Arabidopsis thaliana: one gene and its partner. The protein of the gene in region 1 interacts with the protein of each later gene in a pairwise test. Each region holds a gene or a part of one and is shown in the gene's direction. Other genes may lie near its edges.

Region 1 (5,465 bases):
ATTAACACCATCATCGCTCTCCTTGTCACCTTGGCTTCTCGAATCTAGCACATCAGTTTACAAATCCAATCAATATCACAAACAGAGTGACTTAACACTGACTATTCAAGTCAAATCTAACTATTGTACCATCCAGAGAATGAAACATATACTAGTAAACAAAATAGGCACAGCTACTACTAATGAAACCAAAGCATCAGAGATAAACAAAACTCAGCAAATGATAAACAACTTCAATCATAATCATGAATCTGATAAACAAAACTATCCTTTAGTCCAAAACAGAAAACTAGATTCAACCCATATGGATTACGAAGCAGAACATGCTAAAATTAACCGAAAGATCAAATTTTTACAGCTTGAGATCCCAAAATTGTGAGCCTAAAACCCCAATCAAAACACAAAGAAGAGTAAAAAAGATACCCATTTGTTTAGATCAATGAGCACAAAACCATAAAAATCAAAACTTGAAGAAACTATACAGAGAACAAAGTTAAAAAAAAACTCAGATTTAAAGCGAAGCAAATATATAAACAAACAAGAAAGGTGGCCTAAACGTGTGTGGTGTGAGTGAATAATTGAGAGATACAGAGAGACAACAACAAGAAGAAAAAGGCAAAAAGAAGAAAGTAGTAGTGAGATTATGGGGTGTTAAAAGAATTAAAAACCATGGTTGTTGGATTTGAGGTTGATTAGAGTAGAAGATCCTTGTTGTTGTTGTTCTTCCTCTTGCTTTTTCTTGGCAGCTTTCCTTTTCTTAGCACCTGAAGGCATGATTTAGGCTAGGCTCCTTTGGTGGGGATCGATCTCAAAAACAGCTATGGCGGATCGTGGCTTTTGTCTCTTTGATTTCTCTCTGTTAAAATATAATGGCGTCTTCTTTTCTGTCGAGCCGTAAATGTTTCAAAACTCAAATTGGTGGAAGTGGGAAAGTTTTAGATTCTTCTTATACATACATGTGAAAGGGTTTCTGAGTTTTATTGCTTTTTTTTAACTGTAAAATCACTAATTGATCTTCTTGTAATTTTGTTTCCGCGTTTGTTTCGTTTATTTTCCGCGTTTGGTTTACTAATTTAGCTATTAACGAAATAGTATAATGGATAGAGATTATTTTTGTAAAGTTTGTTCAAACAAAATCATCTTTACAACTTGATTGTGTTATAGATAAATTAAAACAAAAAAATGTTGTCATTCAGTACTTTAGATACCAATATACATTTGTCTTTTGGTTGACTATAATTTGATTTAAGTTTACATCAACAATAGAACCCTGTTTTAAGAACATGGAATTTAATGAAATATCTCACTGAAATTTTAAGTCGGTAGAGTAGGAATCTATACTATACTGAGAAAGGCAACGTTAATAATAAAATAAAAGAAAAAGTATATAGGTTGTCTTTTCAGATTATAATTATGTAATGGCAGTTAGGACAAAATGATATGGGAGGAGTGGGGACAAATAACAAGTGGTTATGAGTTGTCCATGTCAGTTTTTTTGTTAATACCTATACTTTTAAGTTTTAATTAACTTAATCTCAGTTTATGCCAAACGGATTTAGCTAATTTTAATTAATTACTCAATAATAATCGTAAGTCGTAACGTAAGGTTTTTAGTAGAAAAGCCTCGTCTGCTTCCAAATAATTCAATCGCGAACGCTCCTTTTAATCAGACCGGACCGGACCGGTTTGGTTCAATCAATCGAATCGACCCGACCCGCTTAGATCGATGTGTGTGCTCTGTGATTGACTGATTTTCTCAGAGGGATAATCAGTGACACATCGAGTCGAAGAAGAACATACATTTCTACTGAATCAGATCTGATCTGCTTTGTCAGTTTTTAAACTGTTCTGATCTAATTGAGATTTCTCAATTCCACTCAAAATCCTTTAAAGCTTGTCTCTTTTTGGTATCTCTGAATCAATTTGGGGAAATCAAGAGGAGAAGTGACAATGGATGCGTTTAGAAGACAAGCGAGTAAGCTTAGAGACCAAGTCGCAAAGCAGCAACTGGTAATTCCTTTTCATCGCCGCAACTAGTTTCACTGTTACCGATTCAGCGAAACGAAGCTCAATTTAGGTTCTTTGTTGCTAATTTGGATTAAAAAAAATGGAAACTTTTTGATGGGTTTTGATTTGTATATTATTGAGTATTATAGAGTTACACAATCTTGGTTGTGATGATGTGTTGATTGATGTGTGGTAATGGGGAATGTAGGCTGTGATAAAGCAATTCAGTGGGACTGGTTATGAAAGCTCAGATGTAATGGTGATTGATGAGCTTGAAATGCAAAGGCATCATCAACTCGATAAACTTTACCGCTCTACTCGTTCTGCAAAGGTTTGACTGATATTGACCTAATGGCATTGTCACATTTTATATGAGTTCATTGTTGGGGGAGAAGGTTTCAGTATGATTCATCGTAGCACAATACCCTCAAACATATGTTATTGTCACTTTCAGGAGTTCCAGAGAGATATTGTTAAAGCAGCTGAGGCATTTACCACGATCGGGCTCAGACACATTGAAGCAGGTACTTAACTACTTATGAGTGTCTGTTTTGTGTTACCTATCATTGAATTAAGTTATACTATGATACTTTTGTGAGTTTTCTTTTAATATTCTTTAAAATTTCAGGAACCAAGTTGTCTGAAGACTGTTGTAGGTATGGGAACGAAAATAGTCAGAACATTGATGAGAATATACTGGCCAAGGCTGCAGCTATATACGGTGATGCACGGAAACATGTAGACAAAGAACAAGAAGACTTCAACAAGCTTTTGGCTTCTCAGGTTCGGCTTGGATTATCTGTGTTTAATCTTAGTATGTTTACGTAGAATTAAATCTAGTAGATAACAAGAGAAAACCTTTTTGTTAAATGCCGTTAAGGTTTTGGATCCTCTAAGAGCTATGGTTGCCGGTTCTCCTCTTGAAGATGCTCGTCATCTTGCTCAACGTTACAGCCGCATGAGACAAGAAGCAGAGACACATGTAATCATCTTAAGATCTTAGTTCTATGATGATGTTGGCTATTTTATTTTGTAATGTAAGTTAAAACTTAAAAGCAAAACAGGCAACGGAAGTCTCTAGACGGCAAGCACGTGTAAGAGAAGCTCCGATTCCAGAAAACGTAGCAAAGCTTCAACTAGCGGAAGCAAAAATGCAAGAGCTAAAAGCAAATATGGCAGTCCTTGGTAAAGAAGCAACTGCTGCATTAGCCGCTGTTGAATCACAGCAACATAGACTCACTTTCCAGAGGCTTGTGGCTATGGTATGTTTTACATACACACACACTGGATTTTTTTGTCATATGCAGATTACTATTTACCTTATCGCTTATTCTAGGTTGAAGGGGAGAAGAATTATCACTTAAGAATAGCAGCCATCCTCAGTGACATTGAAGCCGAGGTTAGTATTGGATGAATCTTTCCCACATCTTTTTCTCATCAAAGGCTCACACTTTTGGTCTTACCGCGTAGATGGTAACCGAGAAACAACACAAAGAATCTGCTCCTCCTGCGATTCCAACAGAGAACGGCTCAGAGAAAACGTCATACTTTCTTGCTGAAGTAAGTTTTATCTTCCGTAATATTATCATCGCATATCTCACAGAAAGAAAAAGACTCTCCATAAGCAACATATATGTTCTCTCGCAGGTGATTCATCCATTTTCCGCTGCTTCAGAGAAAGAGTTAGACTTGGACAAAGGAGATTACATCGTTGTCCGAAAGGTTCACATCTTCTTACTAGTATCAAAGAACTAACTTCTGTAGTGAGAGAGCATGAAACTTAACTCTCTGTGTGCTGTTTTTCTTTCGTATTCTCAGGTGAGCCAAACCGGTTGGGCTGAAGGAGAATGCAAAGGCAAAGCTGGTTGGTTTCCTATGGCTTACATTGAGAAGCGACAGAGACTTCCCACTACCAACTTTGCTGCTGAAGTTTACTGAGTCTCTTCTTCAAAGATTTCATTTTTTCTTACATTTGTGTCTGAAAACTTTGTTTCAGTTATGTCCTGTCCCCAACAAACTACTACTCTTGTTCATATTTGTTGATCCAAAATAGAGTTTACCTCCAAAAAATGTTTTATTGATTCTTCTTATTGAAGAGTGTTCTTAATGAAGATAACAAGAAAAGGAACAAATGAAACGTTTCTAACATTTGGAACGCACTTTGTTAGAAAGCAAACCCAAAGAATTCAATTAGTGTGGTACGAGGCTTTTAAAGCTCGAAGTAAAAGGATCTGTTTGTCTCAAATTTATGAGTTCCAATGGACAAAATTAACGAATCAATTCCAAAAATTCTCTCTTTCATTCCAACCAAAAACAAAAAGTCTCTTAATTTGCACTCATGTGCAGAGTGACAAGAGAAGCATAAGCACCACCTGAAATCTTCATCAGTGTCTCATGCCTTCCTTTCTCAGCAATAACTCCGTTTTTCACAACCGCGATCACGTCTGCGTTCTTAATCGTCGTAAGCCGATGAGCCACAACTACAGTGGTTCGATTAACCATAACTCGATCAAGTGCATCCTGAACAACACGCTCAGATTCTGCGTCCAATGCACTCGTCGCTTCATCAAGCAACAAAATCTTAGGATCTTTCAAAATCGCGCGCGCAATCGCAATCCTCTGTTTCTGACCGCCCGATAGCTGAACACCGCGTTCTCCAACCGACGTATCGTAACCCTGAGGCAATGAGCTGATGAAGTTATGTGCGTTTGCGGCTTTTGCTGCTGCTATAATCTCTTCCTCTGTGGCTCCACCGGTTTTACCATAAGCTATGTTTGATCTGATCGTCTCGTTGAACAAAATCGGTTCTTGACTAACCAAACCCATCTGTTGCCTTAACCAACTCAATTTAAATGTCTGAATCTCCACCTGATCGATCAAAATCTTGCCTGAATCTGGATTATAAAACCTCTCAATCATGCTTATCACCGTTGATTTCCCGCTCCCGCTCTCTCCAACAAGTGCAACGGTCTGAAAAAACAACCAATAACCAATATTAACCGGTGAACCAGATTTAACCGGTAATTAAAAAGCTCTGTTTTTTACCTTTCCAGAAGGGATAGTCAAGCACAAATCTCTGAAAATCTGAACGTCCGGTCGCATTGGGTATCGGAAACTAACATGTCGGAATTCGATATCACCATTAACGTTTTGTAACGTTGTACCTTCATCAGAGCTAGAATCAATCTTCGGTGTACTATCGAGAATATCGAAAATCGAAGCTGCAGAGTCTTTAGCTTTGTTTGAATCAGGTGCCATAGCACTCGTTTGAGAAACTCCAATCGCCATAATCGTCAATGCAAAGAAAACCTGTAAAAAATACACTCTCAAGATCACTAAACCGAACCAGATCTTAATTAAACCGAGAAATGTTTCTCATCTTACCTTGAAGACTTCACCAAATGTGGCTTTACCAATTTGAATCAACCCGGCACCACTGACGAAACATACACAATTGA
Region 2 (7,576 bases), on another chromosome or scaffold:
TATGATTCAAAGAGAATCTGATTGTTTCAAGCACAAATCCATTGCATTCAATCTCCTCGAGAAATTTCCTAAATTTGTAACATATAATTAAATCCAAGGATCAAACGAAATCGAAAAAGGTAAGTGGATAAATGGAAATTGGATCTGTGGAAATCTTCGAGGAAAGTGAGAAACGATGACTGAAACAGATCAGAAACTGAATTTCATGCAGAGAGGAAGAAGAAGAAGAAGAAACATAAACAAATCTGGTCTTTTGTTTCTTCCAGTTGAAATCTATGTGTGTGTGTGGTTGATTTTGATCTTATATATATAAAAGAACAAAATTAATTGGAATGTTATGCTTAATTTAATTAGATTAATTGAGTTTAAAACTCCACGTCGAAAAGCATAACGAGTTCAAAGTCCGCAGATCTTGCCAGATGGGAATAATCTATTGGTTTTAAGTTATTGGGCCGGAGGGCCCACGTTTAATTGTGACGTGGTTTAGTGCTCGTCAACTCTTTGGTCCGACATTTCACTTTTTTTTTTATAGAAATAATTCTAGATATCCAGTAGTCAAACTTATTGATTATCTAATTTCTATATCCTTACTATTTTTAAAAAAATTACTTTTAACATTTCTAGAATTTTTCGATTTTTTCTGTACTTATTAACTATTAGTAAAATTTATTGATGCTTCTTTTGGTTATGTTATAGTATTGAGACAATGTATTGTATTCTAATTTTGATTTTTTTTTTCCTTTTTAATGATTTGTAGATTTTGTTTTTTCATTATTATATTTGAAAAAATATCTTCTTATATCTTAATCACCAGAAAATCTAAAACCGATGGCTATACTAATTTCCGGAATATATGAAATGTTTATTTTTCTATTAAGGATCCAAAGCAGCTAATTAAGATTAAAAACTTGGGAAGAACTAGTATCCCAAACAAACAATATGATATCCAGATGTCCAAAAGGAAAAAGAAATGGTATCAAAAGAACCAAGAAATGTGCCTAGAAATTTCATATAGTTAGCTTGGAAATTTCTGATTTTTATGTCCAATGTTTATTTATTTTTTCCTTATAATTATACTTGTCATACATCACAAAGAATTGTCAACATTGCCAAACTAGTCCTAAGATGTTGGAAGGTATGATGATAGACAACAGTTCTAAAGAAGGGAAGATGAGATTCAGGCAACAAAAAACACATATAGTTCAAAAAAATTAGGTTGGTAGGATCAATTATTCAAAAAACATACACCAAATAGATTTTAGTAGGGGTTGTTTGTCCAAAAAAAAACTATAATAGTTTACGAAAATAGTTACACCTTGTGAATAGATTTTTTGTTTGCCTTCCCTTGAGGTAAATTATGTCGCGAGAACTATATGAACAACAACGAGATCCACAACAACATTTGATTACATTTTTATTTGAACCTTCACATTGATTTAGTAATGTGGGATTCCAACATCATCTAATGTTATATGAATGGATCTAATAGATGATAAATTGTTAAATGAACTGATAATTTTTTTTTATTTTTTTATGTGTATTTCACATCACATTGTTTTTTTTTTTTTTTTTTTAAGTAAGAAAAAGAAGAAGCACTTGAGACCGATCAGAAAAAAATTAGAAAGATATGATTTTTGTAAGTCTTTTGAAATTTGAATCTTGTCCCGTGTAATTGTGAAATCTTACGTACGTCCTCTTTATGACCTCGTCTTCGCTCATTTCTGCCTTCCCTTACGAAATCCCCAACGAAAAATCTTAGCTTAACACCATCGCGACCGGATTCCAAATTCCGGCCCATCGTCTCACCGGGAAAGACCCCGCCTATTGCCGCCGATTTCGGTTCCGGTCTGCTCAGATCTAATCGAGTGGCTTCCTTCTTCCTCCAGATCTCTTCACTTTGAATCGGTTACTCGATCTCGATTCGCGGAGGGCTTTTGCTAGTCGCGATGGAGGCGATCGATGAGTTGTCTCAGCTCTCAGATTCGATGAAGCAGGCGGCGTCTCTCCTCGCCGACGAAGATCCCGACGAAACCTCTTCTTCCAAGCGCCCTGCCACTTTCCTCAACGTCGTTGCCTTGGGAAATGTGGTGAGTTCCTCGCTCTCACTCCACGCTCCTCGATTTTCCTCTCTTTAGGCTCGTGCTGGTTTTATTCTGTGTTCGAGTGTATGTTGGATTGCCATATCGTGGATCTTCTGGATCTAGATTAGGTTTTTATCGAATTTTGCTAGGACACACTCATCGTTTATAGCTAGTTTTGTTGGGATTCTCTTTATTAGTGGATATATGGTTACATGAGGAGCGACTCGTGCCGGAGAAGGCTGATGTATTTTGTTATTTGTTACTTATCTCTTTTTGCATACTGAACCAGGGAGCTGGAAAGTCTGCAGTTCTAAACAGTCTAATTGGGCATCCAGTGCTGGTAAGTTGTACATTGAGTCTATGGTTATTATTGGCTTACTCCTTTTCTTATACTAATACTGACCTCTGTTGTGTCTGCTACACTTACTATACACAGCCGACGGGTGAGAATGGTGCTACACGAGCTCCTATAATAATTGAATTGAGCAGGGAGAGTTCTTTGAGCAGCAAGGCAATTATCTTGCAAATCGACAATAAATCTCAACAAGTTTCTGCAAGTAAGTCTCTATCTATGAACATATGCAATTTAGCAATGCTATGTGAGGCTCTTTCTGCATTTATGATAAAAAAATTTCGATCAGTCTTCTCATAATATCTCCATTGTGTTCTACATGGGTATATTTTAGGTGCTTTGAGACATTCTCTGCAAGATAGACTTAGCAAAGGAGCCTCAGGGAAGAATCGTGATGAAATAAACTTAAAACTTCGTACCAGCACAGGTAAGCCCCTTTTTACTTGCACAATCATAAGTGGCAAGCCTATATCTACTCTTCAAATAGCACATCCTTAGCTAACCTAAGTTGGGTGTATGAATTTATCTTTGATACCCGTGAACTGGTCAGCTGTAATATCTTGCTATCCTTATATACTATCTAGTACACTAGTTTAGAGCTTCTAGCTTTACTTTGGTGGGTATCAGATTAAATATCTAACGGAGCTTTAACATAAACAGTACACACTCTTTTGAACATGAGTTATGACATATGACATATGACCGACAGTTTCGTAGTATTAAATTTTCTTTGACCATCATAACCTGTTACGTTTACCCTTTACATTGCAGCTCCACCATTGAAATTAGTTGATCTGCCTGGACTGGACCAGAGAATTGTGGACGAGTCAATGGTGAGGCTTGGAACTACTTAATGCCATTGTCATATCCTTAACTTGCCTGACAACCACGAAACAAAAGATTTTGACTATTTTTATCGGTTTCCTACTGAAGTGATAATATAGATTCATTATCATGTTTATCCTTTTGAAATTGTTGTTTGTTTCTTGGGTCTCTTTGCAAGATTGCTGAATACGCGCAACACAATGATGCCATACTGCTGGTTATAGTGCCTGCTAGCCAGGCATCTGAAATTTCATCATCCCGAGCCCTGAAGATTGCAAAGGAGTATGATCCAGAGAGTGAGTACATCTGTATTTCCGATCTGTCTTATCTTAATATTGTTTATTATTTGTATACCTGATAAGAACTGTTGATTTACCTACCTATTATCACTTCAGTTTGCTTAAAATACTCATTAGCTAACATCACTCCTCCCTACTTATAGGTACTAGGACAATAGGCATTATTGGAAAAATTGACCAGGCAGCAGAGAACTCGAAAGCCCTTGCAGCTGTTCAGGCTCTTCTTTCAAATCAAGGACCTCCAAAAACAACTGACATTCCATGGGTTGCTGTTATTGGCCAATCCGTTTCAATTGCGTCAGCACAGTCTGGAAGTGGTGAGAACTCCTTAGAAACTGCTTGGCGTGCTGAGAGTGAAAGTCTTAAGTCCATTTTGACTGGGGCTCCACAAAGCAAGCTTGGCAGAATTGCGTTGGTGGATACCCTTGCTAGCCAGATTCGTAGCAGAATGAAGCTCAGGCTTCCAAGTGTCCTGTCTGGGTATTGCTTCTCTCCATATATGTGCTTTCTTCATGATTTTTATTATGGTGTTGGCATATGACATTGGTTGCTTGAACGCATATGGCTTTCAAATTCTTTGTACAGGCTCCAGGGTAAGTCTCAAATAGTGCAGGATGAGCTAGCGAGGCTTGGTGAACAACTAGTTAACAGTGCTGAAGGTACAAGGGCTATAGCTTTGGAGCTTTGCCGTGAGTTTGAAGACAAGTTTCTTCTGCACTTGGCTGGTGGTGAAGTAAGTACATTCTTACAAAAGTTAACTAGATTTAGTCGAAAATTCAAGAATATAGTGAGAGAGAAGAACTCTTCAAATATTAGCAATCAGCCATTTCAGATTTGGTACTAGTGTAGTGGAAAGTCTCTTGCTAGCCTACGCTTGGTAAGAGCACATTATATTGTTGGGAATCTCATGAATCTGATAGTGGATGTTTATAATATGTGTATAAGCCAACTGAGTGTTTGATATAGAGTTTTTGTACTTGTCTGTGTTCAGTTTATGGGCTGAAGTCCCTTTTGGAGCTTGGCAAATGTTTTTCTCAAAACTTTTTGATTCTTGTTCAGGGAAGTGGTTGGAAAGTTGTTGCAAGTTTTGAAGGAAATTTCCCCAACCGTATCAAGCAGCTTCCATTGGATAGACATTTTGACCTGAACAATGTTAAAAGGGTGGGTGTCTTCTTCTGTCCTAAGTTTCTGCACGAGACAAGTTTTGAGACTTGATTTGTCAAAATATCTTTGATTTTCAGGTTGTTTTGGAGGCAGATGGTTATCAACCTTATCTTATATCTCCAGAGAAAGGGTTGAGATCGTTGATAAAGATTGTCCTTGAGTTGGCTAAAGACCCGGCACGCCTTTGTGTTGATGAGGTGTGCTTGTTTACATGTTTTTTTAGGTACATGCAGTAGGATTGAATTTTAGAAATTTACTGCATTGTGAACTGGCTATGGCTTGTCTCACTTTAATTCTTCGAACTGTTATTTAGAGTTCTGTCAAGTTTTCTGGTTTATAAGCCTTAGTAAGTTAATATCCCTTACCGTAGATGTAGCTATTTTTTGGTTCCTACTTTAAAACTCATGCATCCAGCTTCTGTCTTATTTACGTGTTGAGCTAACATGGTCTTAACTTTTGATTAGGTTCACCGAGTTCTTGTTGACATAGTTTCAGCTTCTGCAAATGCTACACCTGGACTTGGGAGATATCCTCCTTTCAAGCGAGAGGTAATAATGATTTTTTGGTGCTTTATTCAGTAATATTTTATCATTTCGGTAACAGTTATTCCTTTCTGACTAATCATCAACCAGGTTGTAGCTATAGCAAGTGCAGCACTTGATGGTTTCAAGAATGAAGCCAAGAAAATGGTGGTTGCACTAGTTGATATGGAACGCGCTTTTGTACCACCTCAACATTTTATCCGTCTTGTGCAAAGGAGGTATTTTGGCTTGTCTTTCTTTGCAATTTTTGTTTTTATTTTCAATGGTTCATGACTGAAAATTATTTCTCTTTCTGACGATGCACTGTATTGACTCCATCAGAATGGAAAGACAACGTCGCGAGGAAGAGCTGAAAGGGCGATCTTCTAAGAAGGGACAAGATGCAGAGCAGTCCCTTTTAAGCAGGGTGTGTGTTCATTCTGTATCAATTTGGATATACGTAGTGAAAAATGTTTTTTTTTTTTTTTTATCGTTTTACATGAAAATATATAATGTGGAAATTCTCTACATATATGTTTATCAGGCTACTAGTCCTCAGCCAGATGGGCCAACAGCTGGTGGTAGCTTAAAATCAATGAAAGACAAACCTAGTCCGCAAGATAAAGAGACGCCGGAGGTCTCTGGTCTGAAAACTGCTGGACCTGAGGGGGAGATAACAGCAGGTTGTTATTCTAATATACATCTACCCAGTTACTGTCTAAAAAGTTTCATTCTGCTTTTTCACTCCCGATTTGCTTTCCTTACGTTGCATGATTTTATTGCTGCAAAGCTTTGCTCTTAGTCCAAGTGCATGATTTCTTCATGTCTTTTTCTTCTTTATCACTTAAAACTAACTTGACAAAACTAACTTCCAAGGTAGATAACAAATACTTACTCTTTTCATTTAGGGTACTTAATGAAGAAAAGTGCAAAAACAAATGGGTGGAGTAGGCGATGGTTTGTTCTGAATGAGAAAACTGGAAAGGTCAGCATTTTGAAACGTATATTCTTCAGTTGTTGAGAACTTACTGACTTTACTGTTTACCTTTTTCTAGCTTGGCTATACCAAAAAGCAAGAAGAAAGAAACTTTCGGGGCACGATAACTTTGGAGGTACCATTCTCTTCCTATGCTTTATTTTCTGCCAAAGGTGAACTATAATTAGATATGACATGGAAAAAAGAATTAGAGAAGAATATAGTTCGTATTCACCTTGTTATTTTCTCCCACACTGTTTCCTTCTTGGAGAGTGACAATTACTTGTGTATTTTGAAGCTTATGCTTCAAATATTTAATAGTTCTGTTATTATCGATGAGAAATTTGGATACTCTATAGATAACATTTTTTCCATGTTTTTCTAATTATACTTCCTCCAACTTTATTAATCCACTCAGGAATGCACTATTGAAGAAATCCCCGAGGACGAAGTAGAAAAGTCAAAGAGCTCGAAGGACAAGAAGGCAAATGGACCTGATTCAAAAGGACCAGGCCTTGTGTTTAAAATAACCTGCAAGGTTCCCTATAAGACTGTACTCAAAGGTACATAAATCAATCATTATAAGAATTCAAACTTCTTAATCTTCTATTCGCACTTTTATGAGTTTTCCTCAAACTATTATGTTGCAGCTCACAATGCCCTTGTGCTTAAGGCTGAGAGTGTAGTCGACAAGAACGAGTGGATTAATAAGTTGCAAAAGGTTATCCAGGCTCGTGGAGGCCAAGTGGGCAGTGTTTCCATGAGGCAGAGTCTTTCAGAAGGTTCACTTGTGAGTCACTCATGGGCAGCTTTTCTTACATTTCCTCTTCCTTAAATCTATGTTAGATACGTTCACTAGTCTTATGGATTACTTATTATCACTATGAAGAAAGTTTGAAACTTCACTTCGGAAGGTTTGAAACTGTTGGAAGAGCAAACAAAGCTATTTATGTTTTATTGAACATTGTCGAATTTTTATTATTGAAACATTTTTCCTATAGAAGGCTCAGTTTATGGGGTATGCATGATACTACTTTTAAACTTGACATAAGTTATGTTTGACATTTAAGGTTTTTATTGTTTATAATATTTTCTGAGACTTACGTTTTTTTCCTTGTCTGTATTTCAGGATAAGATGGTTAGGAAACCCATCGATCCAGAAGAGGAGCTCCGGTGGATGTCCCAAGAAGTACGGGGTTACGTTGAAGCTGTTCTTAACAGCCTTGCAGCCAATGTTCCAAAGGTGAACTATCCTTATGCAAAAGCTCGAAAGCTCTAAATTTTCTTGTCCATCTCTTTTCTCTTACAGAGATTCCTCGGTCATGCTACTAAGCGATGTGAATTGACCATGAACAGGC

What was found. The genes of interacting proteins can lie anywhere in the genome.
Region 2: the proteins of AT4G18060 (region 1) and ADL6 interact in a two-hybrid assay, tested with the Arabidopsis thaliana proteins (one study listed by BioGRID).

What each region holds. Positions count from the first base shown.
Region 1 is NC_003075.7:10,026,148-10,031,612, reverse strand, and holds AT4G18060 (SH3 domain-containing protein), read left to right. Parts: upstream 1-1,579; 5' UTR 1,580-1,950; coding exon 1,951-2,010; intron 2,011-2,215; coding exon 2,216-2,338; intron 2,339-2,461; coding exon 2,462-2,531; intron 2,532-2,635; coding exon 2,636-2,790; intron 2,791-2,887; coding exon 2,888-2,989; intron 2,990-3,071; coding exon 3,072-3,269; intron 3,270-3,343; coding exon 3,344-3,406; intron 3,407-3,477; coding exon 3,478-3,567; intron 3,568-3,654; coding exon 3,655-3,729; intron 3,730-3,825; coding exon 3,826-3,945; 3' UTR 3,946-4,332; downstream 4,333-5,465. Other genes in the region: AT4G18070 (suppressor), read right to left, coding at 1-44, 669-774; ABCB9 (P-glycoprotein 9), read right to left, coding at 4,333-4,977, 5,053-5,316, 5,392-5,465. UniProt on the Arabidopsis thaliana protein: May be involved in the recruitment of DRP2A to the accessory protein complex and in the negative regulation of its GTPase activity.
Region 2 is NC_003070.9:3,368,828-3,376,403, forward strand, and holds the start of ADL6 (dynamin-like protein 6), read left to right. Parts: upstream 1-1,574; 5' UTR 1,575-1,946; coding exon 1,947-2,087; intron 2,088-2,370; coding exon 2,371-2,421; intron 2,422-2,517; coding exon 2,518-2,638; intron 2,639-2,767; coding exon 2,768-2,860; intron 2,861-3,204; coding exon 3,205-3,266; intron 3,267-3,436; coding exon 3,437-3,554; intron 3,555-3,700; coding exon 3,701-4,037; intron 4,038-4,142; coding exon 4,143-4,290; intron 4,291-4,616; coding exon 4,617-4,718; intron 4,719-4,798; coding exon 4,799-4,918; intron 4,919-5,185; coding exon 5,186-5,269; intron 5,270-5,353; coding exon 5,354-5,481; intron 5,482-5,584; coding exon 5,585-5,669; intron 5,670-5,786; coding exon 5,787-5,925; intron 5,926-6,150; coding exon 6,151-6,227; intron 6,228-6,297; coding exon 6,298-6,354; intron 6,355-6,636; coding exon 6,637-6,781; intron 6,782-6,868; coding exon 6,869-7,008; intron 7,009-7,347; coding exon 7,348-7,461; intron 7,462-7,574; and 1 more. UniProt on the Arabidopsis thaliana protein: Microtubule-associated force-producing protein involved in clathrin-mediated vesicle trafficking from the trans-Golgi network to the central vacuole. Able to bind and hydrolyze GTP. Binds specifically to phosphatidylinositol 3-phosphate (PtdIns3P).